Linked DNA regions of Coturnix japonica. The protein of the gene in region 1 purifies or fractionates together with the protein of each later gene. This does not show direct contact. Links are inferred from orthologs where the notes say so. Each region holds a gene or a part of one and is shown on either strand. Other genes may lie near its edges.

Region 1 (5,047 bases):
TTTCAAAAGGGGGCAAAGGAGAAAGGGGAGGGTCTATTACTCACTGACATGTGGGAACACAGACACAGGAGGAGGGCTCCCAAAATCATAGCAACCTTCCCAAACACACCACAGTTGGGTGCAGGGATGGGGGGGGTGTCCGTAATGTGGTTTTGCAGCTGTTCCAAGAGAACGTGGCCAGCTTTGCATTACAGTCTGTTTGCATTACAGTTCCAAGCAGAAATACTGAGATCTAGGCTGAAAGAGGTCCTTCTCTTACACCTGACCACTGGTTCACTAGTAAATAACTCCACAAAGAGGTATAAGGGGCTGCTACTCCCCATGGTAAAGAAAGTCTACTTGTACATTCCTGATCCATAACTTGACTAAAAAACACAGGAGCTTCAGCATGGAAACATCTGCTAACTCATACATACTCGGGGCTACTTCCACTCCCAAGTGATGGATCCACACTCCCAGATCCACAGGAAGGAGCCTCTGGTCCCCACAGCAAATGATGCACGGTAACTGTCCCAAAGGAATGAGCATACAACACTCTGCCCCTGCACAACTGCATTGGGCAGGTACTCCATTCCCTCCCCACTACAGGGAAAGCAAGCAGCCAGCTGGCTTGCTGGAACCATAAGCAGAGTCTTTTTCTCAGCACTTCCACATCTCTGCCATAAGACAATGCTTCATCTCCCCTGTGATTCCCAGCTCAAGGCAGTCTGTCATAAACAAGGAGGGAGCAGGACAGGGAAAAAGGGACAAGGGAAGAAACAATTCTCTATACAGTCCAGTAACTTCCTCAAGGAGGAGAGTGACCTGTGAGGCAGCCCAGTGCAGCAGCCCCCTCCCAGCGAGGGAGGGGAGGGCTGGAGGTAGGTCAGCATCCTGCCCACTCCATCTCCTGGTACCTTGCTACTAACAGAGGCAGAGACCAGACTAGCCACAGAACTCCACCCTTTGAGCAGATCCTGGCTTCCCAGAGTCAGGTCTCACGTGTGCCACAACTAGATGCTAGTTGAAAAGGAATGGGAAGAGGAAGAGTTTCTGAACTCCAAGTCAGCATTCATACTGGCTACTGGGGACACTACAGGCAGCACGGAGTCAAGGGGAGGCTCTTGGAAGCCTTGGGACTGACAAGGCAACAGTCAGGAAGAAAACCAGGTAGAAGTGTGTACTTGTTGGAGCCTGTCTGCTTGCCACACCCCAGAAGACCCCAGGTGTCCTAGAGCTGCCCCAGCAGGGACAGTGCCAGGATGGATGACGGTGCAGGCCTTGGCACCACAGTTATGTGTGGTTATGTGAGCCTTAACTGCGTGCTCTGCAGCACCCTGTCTCCACAAGCAGCTCTGATGCCTTCTGGTTGGGGAGGAGATGAGGACCTATGTGTTGCGGATTCCCAGGGCCTGCTCCAGCTCCTGCCGTCTTTGCTGGACCTGGAAGAGAAGAGTTGCAACATTAACAAAGACAGCAGCTCAGTGTTCAAGTCTCACAGGGACCATCTGGATGGGGCTGAACACAAACTGGGATCATAATGCATTAGCAGTGTCTGAAAGCAAGGCTTAACACTGCTCCTTTTTCACCAGGGCATCAGCCCCAAGAAGTGGCAGGTACACCAAGCTACCGGGTCTGGAAGGAACCCCTGCCTGGAGACACTCACCTTGGAGTAGAAGTATCTGCACACAGCTTCCTGAGCCCATGGCTGGAAGTAGAACTCAGCTCTACGCTCCTCTTCAGGATTCCCAACAACATCAGTCATCGTCTGGAAAGCACAAAGGACAAAGCAGTTCAGGGAGTACAAAAGCTCTGTGCTGAACAAAACTGCACCCCCTTTGCCTCAAAGAAACTTCAGTTCAGTCAGGTCAGGTCCTTATGTTTGATTTCAGTTCAAGTCTTGCTTTCTAAGCAGGAAATTGCCTTTCTCTCTCTGTGGGAGCTAGTTATAATGAGGGAAGCATGTGACTGGATCCACCTTCCACACAAGAAAAGCTTTTACCTTCAAGTCCCGGCACTGGGACTGGAGCCAGTCATTGATGAAGCCCTGAGGATCTCGGGCAAAGCTCAGCATGAACTCACGCTGGGTCTTCAGCTGGTTAATTGTCTCTATTGTTTCATGGATCTGGAGGAGATAAGCACAGCATCGGGACTGCTGAATAGGGAAAAAATGTCAGAGAAACATAAAGAGATCCAATGTGTGAAGGTGAATTCTTATACTCTCTGGCTGACTTATCAGATAGGATTCACAGCTCCTAACTTCCTTCTCTAAAGGTTACTGGTTTTTCCACTGACCATTTGCTTTAAAACTCTGCTTCCAGGTAAAGCCATCTATCTACCCATTGTTGCCCTACTCCAACTTCCAAATGCCCAAAAGAGCAAATCTGAACTGTCACAATCAGAGCTTATCTTGCTCCACAGACACACTCCTATCTAGCAAAGAGGATGGCACACCTGAAGGAGCTCTTCCTACCTTGTTATCCAGAGCAGCAATTTCCTGTTGACTGGCAGTTGATAGCAGGAATGAATTCATCTGAGTCTTCAAGGTGTCATCCACCTCCACATCAATGTCATAGCAGGCCGTTTTCTTCTGGTCATTAGGATCAACACTGGGGGCATCCACAAGAAAGGAACCAGAAAGAGTAAGTCATTCAAGAAGCCAACTCATCAAATTGTGACTGCTTTAGGGTGGTACAGCATAAGGACTGCCAGCAGGGACAAGCCAAGCCAGCGTTAGGTTCATCTCTAACACCAAACAGCGAAGCTTTATTGATGTCTTTGCTGCATAAGGACCAAGTGACTGTTCCAAGCAAATTTCTACCCACATACGTGGTAATGCAAAGGAAGTATGAGTTCCTTGTGAAAGAGAAGGATACAGTAAGTGTCAGAGGTGCCCATTCCTGTGTAAAGAAATAATGGCAGGCAACACAGGGAAACTACTACTGAAAAATCAGAGCTCTTCACGTCATTTTTCTGTGCCAGCCCCATCCATTCTTTGTTCTCTTCTTTTTATAAATAAAAAGCCAAGTAAAGCAGCCTCACCTGATCACGTGATTAATGATGATCGGTTCCGGGGGCATAAGCAGTGCATGAAGCCTTTGTGGAATTTCAGAGAACTTCATCCGCTGAGATTCAAATATCTGTGACAGAAACACAAGGCTAAGGGAAGGAACAGGAGCTGTGCCAAACAGCTGTCTGCTGACCAGGAAAAGCTGAAGCAGTTGCTCATTCCCACCACAAATCCCGTTACCTGCTGGAGGTATTTGTCACAAATGACATACTCCCGCTCGTGGGGGTCCTGGAGCTTGTGGGTTTTGATATATTGCCACAAAGCCTGGATGATCACTGGGCGAGTCTGAGTGTGGATCCCCAGCAGACGAGCCAAGCGGGGATCCAGTTTGAACTGGGGAGGCTGAAAGAAAAAGCACAGAGAGGTGAGAGGGGACTATGGCCACAGATACAGCATAGCAAACGCTACGTGTGCCCAGCACTGCTATCCAGCATCTCACCTGGTAATCGAGCATCAGAAGGACAGTGCAGCGCACATTGACATCTCCTGGCCTCTTCACCTGGAAGCCATCTGTCTCCTGAGTTGTAGCAGTTCTGTGCCACTGGAATACGTGCAACAGGAGGGGGATTTAGCTGCACCTACACGCTCGATTCCTTTTGCTCCCGCTGCTTGCCACCCAACCTCCCCCACGACAGAAGATTCATCTTATTCCCATTTATAGTTTGAAACAAGAGTTAATGCATTTATTCAGAGCCCTGGCAAGTCAGTGGAAAAGCTAAGATAAGAATTCAAGAGAATTCAGCCCTGGCACCTAGCCACTTGTTAAAGCCTTAAATATCCCACTTCACAAGTTACCAACTACACACAAATTCAATCTGCTGGAACAACAACCCATTTGTAGAGATAATACAGCAAAAAGAAGCAAGCTCACCTCTACCAGGTGATTGTCAGGGCCATAGAGGTCTTTATCAAGTTCAATGACCAGAGATTTAAAGAAGGATGAGAACTTTCTTTTCTGTTTGGTGGCATCGTATTTGGACAAAGCAGACTGCAAGCAACACAGGAAGGAAGAGAGAGTCAGGAGAGCAAGTTCCAGGACTCAAGCACAGGCAAGGTGCACAGCAGTGTTCCTTTAAGTTGTGAACACTTACATTCATCAACACATGCTCGAAAATCAAGTTCCAAGTCAAAAATGGTGAAAGACTGGAGATAAAGATGAGCTTGGAGGAATTAACTTACTCAGCAATTACATAAAATGCGAGTGCCCTGGTTCTAAGAGCCAGGGTACACAAGTGCTACTGATCGGCTCTCACCATTAATTCTTATAGCTATAAGAACTTTGTATAACTCATGTTCTGCCATGGGGATACCCATCGGTCTCCGAGTTGGGCTCTCGGTCTCGTCACCATCAGACTCCTTGGAAAACAGAGATGAAGGAGGATATCAAGCCCTTAGCTACACTCCCAGACACTAAGAAACTGGTTCAATTTCCAATTCCAGACCCATCAAATCAGCTCTGCAGTTGGGTGCCTTACACTCACATCTTCTAGCAGCCTTCCTTCTACTCGAAGCTCCCAGGAGGCCACTGTTCCTTCACCATCCTCTGCATCCGACTTGGCTGGATTGAAGGTATTGGAGATAAAAATACGTAGCTTTCGCTTTTGCTACAAGAAAAAGCATCAGCTCAGTATTCATTCAGAAGCAAAGGGATGAGAATCATGCTTATGTTTTGTTAAAACTAAGCTAAATATTCTTCTTTTCCTCATACATCCACTCTCAGGACAAACAGCACAGAGAGAGGCAGTCTTGGTTCTACCCCCCCACTTAAGTCCTGGGCATTACAGTTCTCTCTATGCTTATAGGGTTATGACACAACCTTCAAAGCCCTCCTACTCTTCTGATAACAGTAAGTCTCTGAATGTCCCTCTCCTACCTTAATGGGTCGTTTCAAAGCCTCCTGGATATCCAAGCGTTTCCTCATGATCGTCTGGTCCAATTTCCTTTCAAAGGCCAGCAGGTCCATATAAGCTTGAGACTCAGGCACAAGTTCACGGATCT
Region 2 (5,047 bases), on another chromosome or scaffold:
ACCTAAATACGCATCCAACTCATTTAGATTCTAAAGGTGAAAACATGTTAGCACTTGAATAAGGCTACAAATATTCATCTTAAGGCTATAGGAACATCAATGTCTAGTTACAGTATTCAGTAGTTTGGATGACAGCATTTCGGTCCTATAAAAACCACAAAAACCCAGCACAATATTGCAAAGGATACGCTGTTAGAACAGCAGTTTTACACAAGAAAAAAGCAGGGATGTTGTAGTGTTCGAACATCAATTCCGTCAGCTTCTCACGCTTTGCTCTGGTATTCCACTAGAAAAAGAAAATACAAGCAAGTAAATAAGAAGATACACCTATCTTGAGGATTGTTTGAGCATAATAAAAGAAAGCAAACAAAGCAAGGAAGTAATTGGAATTATTTAAGTTGTAATTTCAAATTAAATCAAAATTCTATAGAGAAACAGATTCCTAATAATTTATTTCCTTAGAAACTGTATTGTTCTAATACTACTTCAAAACATTAATACATATCTTCAATATAAGTGCACAGACAGTAAATTTACAGAAAGTAGGCAAAACTCTTGGATTACAGGTCTACTTTAATGCCTTCAGATTTTATGCCCCTCAAGCATAACACTCTAATGTGATAGACAGCAATAACAACAGAGTGGCAAAGCCTTCAGCTACAGCAAATGAGAACCAGCCCAAATAGAGCAGCCATAGACACAGACATGAAGGAAAAAAAACTACTTATCCTTAGAAGCTTCAGGTAAAAGGGATCCCCAACAAAAGACTCTCACTGCCAACCCTTAAATTAGGTCTAGGAAGGGGTTGGTACATTGAATGCATCCCTGAGTTGGCCCTGCCCAGTGATTGAGGTGCTCAATCACTGCTTCAAGCTGTGACTCAGCACTTCCACAACTAAATGACAGAAACTTTGTTCACGTTTTTCTCCAGAAATCTGTGTTCATGCACCTCATTTATGTTACAGGAGCATTTGCTGAAACGAAATTAAAACTCCACTACACGTGTTATTCCCTGTCACGTTAGATGGCAGGCTGATTGCATGCAAAGATGGATTAAGTGTAATATATGAAGACATTCAGACAACTTTTTGCTTTTATTCTGTGCTGTCAAGTGAGGTTATTTTTGATTTTATACTACTTTTTTTTTTTTTTTTTTAAATACATGAAATACAGTAACACATAGTAAGTGTGTTCTAATGAAACGCATAGAAATTCTTTCAAATTTGGGCTTTTTTTTGACATTTTTCCTATTGAGAATACTTTCCAGAACCTGCATGATATTTTTAAATGTTACTTCTGTAGTTCAGTTTTAACACTCATAACCTACAAGCCAGTGCTGGGTTTCTCCAAGACTAATGTCTATAGATTCAGCAAGAAGATACTGATAAGTCTCCTCACAATGCAAAGCTCCTTTTACTCACTGGTGCTTCAGACATAAGGACAGGATGCAAACTCGCTTCAGATTTAATATGCATCTTGTAAGTGTGATCCAAAATTGCCTGGAAACTATCCCAGTCTTCAACTGCAACGACATCGAAGCAAGCAGATTAGTTACTTCTAACTTTTGATCTACTTCATAAATCCACATAAAGTTTTCCTGATGTTTTTTTTTTTCCTAAGAGCTCTTCAGACAAAAGCCGTCCTCAGCAGCCCTATACCCCTCCTGCTTTGCCAAATTCTCATCTATATTTTTTTAAGCATCATGACAGCAAATAAGAATTGTTATTATAAATAATAATAAATAAATAAGTTACAATAAAAGTCCACTGACATTTTGTAAATTGAGCCATTCTTATGGCTGATAGCCTCTGTCCATACACGTTACAGGAACAATATTAGGAACTATTTCCAAAAACTTGTTTCTTAATTGTTTTATCAAAGGAGACAGCTAAATTAAAGCCATCAAATAAACAAGAATCTACAAGTCTCCCATTAAGACATAAAAATGCTCATTATCGTATTAAAATATCTTAAGTGAAAGCAGAACCGTTTCTTTACGAGCCTGCTTTCTAAGTCCAAAGGAAAAAACAGTTGACATGGATAGCATCTGTTTACATGAAAGCTATGACTTGTTGCAGCCTAACAATTGTATCTTAAAGACAGCTAAAAAAGACAGAGCACCATACTCATTCCATTTTTTAAAGGTGAAATGGCCTCCATATTTTCCCTTGGGACTCTCAGGGCATTGGTGTCTATGTAGTACGTTGGGCCCCCTTGTTTGCCTTTGTCACCATCTATCTCCATCAGAGTGCTGCCATTGTCTCTTTCTAGCACCACGCCTATAGCTGTTGGAAAATCAACCTGTAAAGCAAAAGGTAAAATATTGATGAAGGTTATTCATTTTGGATGTGGGTTGTTTTGTTGGTTTTTGGTTTTGTTTTTCATTGGTTTGTTTTTTAGGGGGCTAATAAAATTCAGAGTTTTCCTTAAATAATAATAAACAGTATATTCTGGAAGCTTATGACTAATAAACAAGTTCAAGCTCCAATTGTAATCCCACTGAGTTCATAAAGATTCTTACCTTTGGACAGTCTTCGCCTGCATAGCCTGCTCTCACTGTATACGAGCCAATGTCAAAAACAAGAGCCCCAACTTCATCTGCAAAGATTGTTAACAAAGAAGTAGTGAATGGTTATTGTGCTCTACTGCAATCCTGACCTGAACTTATCTCTTGTCTGCTTTGCTTGCCAGAAAACAAACAAACAAACAAAAAAAAGCCCAATATGATAAAGCATCTTTCCTGAGACACAGAGCAATTTCTCTATTCAGAATTCAAGCTAACTGAGAGCCACCAGGAGGTTACAGATAGGCTGTAACCAGGACACTGCAATACCTTTCATTGGCAAAAGAAAAAGGGCAATTTTAACAGACGAGAGCTGCATCTAAACACAGGCTTGCGAAGCGAGTCCACATGAACTTCATGACATTCAACAAGGCCACGTACAAGGTGTTGCACAGGACTTGAGACTCAGACAGCTGGACATGAGCCAGCAGTGTGTGCTTTCAGCCTAGAAAGCCAACAGCATCCTGAGCTGCATCAGGGGAGGGGTGGCCAGCAGAGCAAGGAAGGTGACCATCCCCTTGTGCCCTGCCCTCGCCAAGTCCCATCTGTTGTACCACATTCAGGCCTGTGGCCCCCAGCATAAGAATGAGATGTTGGAGTGAGTCCAGAGGAGGGTCAAGACAATCAAAGGGCTGAAGCTCCTCTGCTATGGAGAAAGGGAGCTGGCTTTGCTTAGCTTGGAGAAGGTGCCAGTGACAGTTTGTTGCAGCCTTACAGGGAGCTTATAAACAAGAGGGAAACTGACTTTCTACATGGTTTGATAGTGACAGGACGATGGGGAATGGTTCCACACTAAAGGAAGAGATTTAGGTCGCATGTTAGGGGGCAATTTTTCAGAGAGGGCAGTGAGACCCTGGCACTGCTGTGTGTGCCCCATCCCTGCAGGTGACCCAGACGGGTCGGACGGACCCTGGGCCCGCGGCGGCCTCCTCTCCTCACACACGGAGCGATGCGGCGGGAGGGAGCCGGGCCTGAGGGAGCTCAACAGTGTCGTTATATCAGACTCACCTCCGCCGTACACACCGCCGCTCATGGCTGCCCGCTGCTCAGCGCTGTGCTAACAATAGCACTCGGTCTCTCGCCCCGCCGCCCGGCTCAGCGCAGCTCGCAGGCCCGCGCCTTCCCGCCAATGGCAGCGCCGCCGCCGTCCGCCCACCCGCCCGCACTGCAGAGCGTTACCCAACAGAACGGCTGAGTGGGCACAGCGGCCAATCAGAGAAGGGAGGGAGGAGGGGCTTGCTTATGAGTAGCCAATCATGAGGCGGGAAGTGAGGAGCTTGGTAGAGGAGAGTGAGAGCAAGCAAGTGTAGGTGCAGTGCGCGGGAAGGGCGGTGTGAGGAGAGAGGGGCGGGAGGAGCTGAGGGAGGAGTTGGAGGAGGAGCTGAGGGAGGAGCTGAGGGAGGAGCTCTTGAGGTGGGTGTGCCACAGGATCACAGAATGACCCGGGTTGGAAGGGACCACAAGGATCATGTAGTTCCAACCCCCCTGCATGGCAGGGCCACCAAACATACACCTTTACTAGATCAGGTTGCCCAGGGCCCCGTCCAACCTGGCCTTGAACACCTCCAAGGACGGGGCATCCACAACCTCCCTGGGCAGCCTGTTCCAGGGCCTGACCACTCTCCTAGTGAAGAACTTCCCCCTAACATCCAACCTAAATCTTCCCTCTTTTAACTTCAAACCATTTCCCCATGTCCTGCTATTGTCAGCCTTTTCAAAGAGTTTTATAGGTGTTTGCATGAGGAAGATCAGCACAAATCTTTCTTTGCCACTAGTTGTACTGTGTAATGTTGGTGTGCTTTGATTTATTTTATGGTGCCCTTTAATGTGTTATAGTGATTTCTAGCACGTGGCACTAATACCCAAGGTAGAGTTGGTGGAGAAGGATGAATTAATTGCAGTTGGGGAAGGCTGTAAAGCAAAATGGGTGTTAAAACACTGGGGGACGTTTCTTCAGCTTGTGCCTGTACTTGGGCTTTGTTTTCATAGTGGTTCATAACATCCCTGTGGTAACTGATGCTTTGGGGCAGACCCTGCTCTCCCCAAGAGTGGCTTATGATAGCTTTGTGGGTGAGACAGGGGGCCCAGGGGGGTTGGAACTTCATGATCCTTGAGGTCCCTTCCAACCCAGGTCATTCTGTGAGACACCAAGACAGCCGTCTGCTGCTTCATTTATCTGTAACTTTTGCAGCACTTGAGATCTCCCAGTGGTGCCAGCAGAAGAGGCGTGTGGCTGTGCAGCATGGGGAGAGGGCGTTCCTGTGCACGACCAATCTTTCCTGCTCAGCAATTGCCTGGTGCCGATAGTGAGAACTGAATGTATGCTGCAAGTCCTGCTGTTGTCTGGAAGCCTCAGGATTTGGTGAGTGCAAAGATAAGAGACTAAATCTGTGCAAAGAAGCCTGGAGGATCTGGGGAGGGAAGTTCAGGCTGTTAGCTGTCTTAGCCTTGTTTTTTTTTCCCACTGTTTTGCAGTTGTGTTGG

What was found. Proteins that work in one complex are often made in the same cells at the same time.
Region 2: the proteins of SMARCD1 (region 1) and ACTL6A purify together in Homo sapiens (affinity purification with mass spectrometry; 8 studies listed by BioGRID and IntAct, with this or other methods). This does not show direct contact. The link is inferred for Coturnix japonica from reciprocal best matches to the Homo sapiens genes SMARCD1 and ACTL6A.

What each region holds. Positions count from the first base shown.
Region 1 is NC_029544.1:343,923-348,969, forward strand, and holds part of SMARCD1 (SWI/SNF-related matrix-associated actin-dependent regulator of chromatin subfamily D member 1), read right to left. Parts: intron 5,046-5,047; coding exon 4,923-5,045; intron 4,654-4,922; coding exon 4,525-4,653; intron 4,038-4,524; coding exon 3,921-4,037; intron 3,591-3,920; coding exon 3,489-3,590; intron 3,392-3,488; coding exon 3,230-3,391; intron 3,120-3,229; coding exon 3,022-3,119; intron 2,589-3,021; coding exon 2,453-2,588; intron 2,135-2,452; coding exon 1,982-2,134; intron 1,748-1,981; coding exon 1,646-1,747; intron 1,422-1,645; coding exon 1,368-1,421; 3' UTR 1-1,367. UniProt on the Homo sapiens protein: Involved in transcriptional activation and repression of select genes by chromatin remodeling (alteration of DNA-nucleosome topology).
Region 2 is NC_029524.1:15,353,767-15,358,813, forward strand, and holds the start of ACTL6A (actin-like protein 6A), read right to left. Parts: upstream 3,735-5,047; 5' UTR 3,597-3,734; coding exon 3,572-3,596; intron 2,599-3,571; coding exon 2,522-2,598; intron 2,302-2,521; coding exon 2,127-2,301; intron 1,523-2,126; coding exon 1,422-1,522; intron 287-1,421; coding exon 189-286; intron 1-188.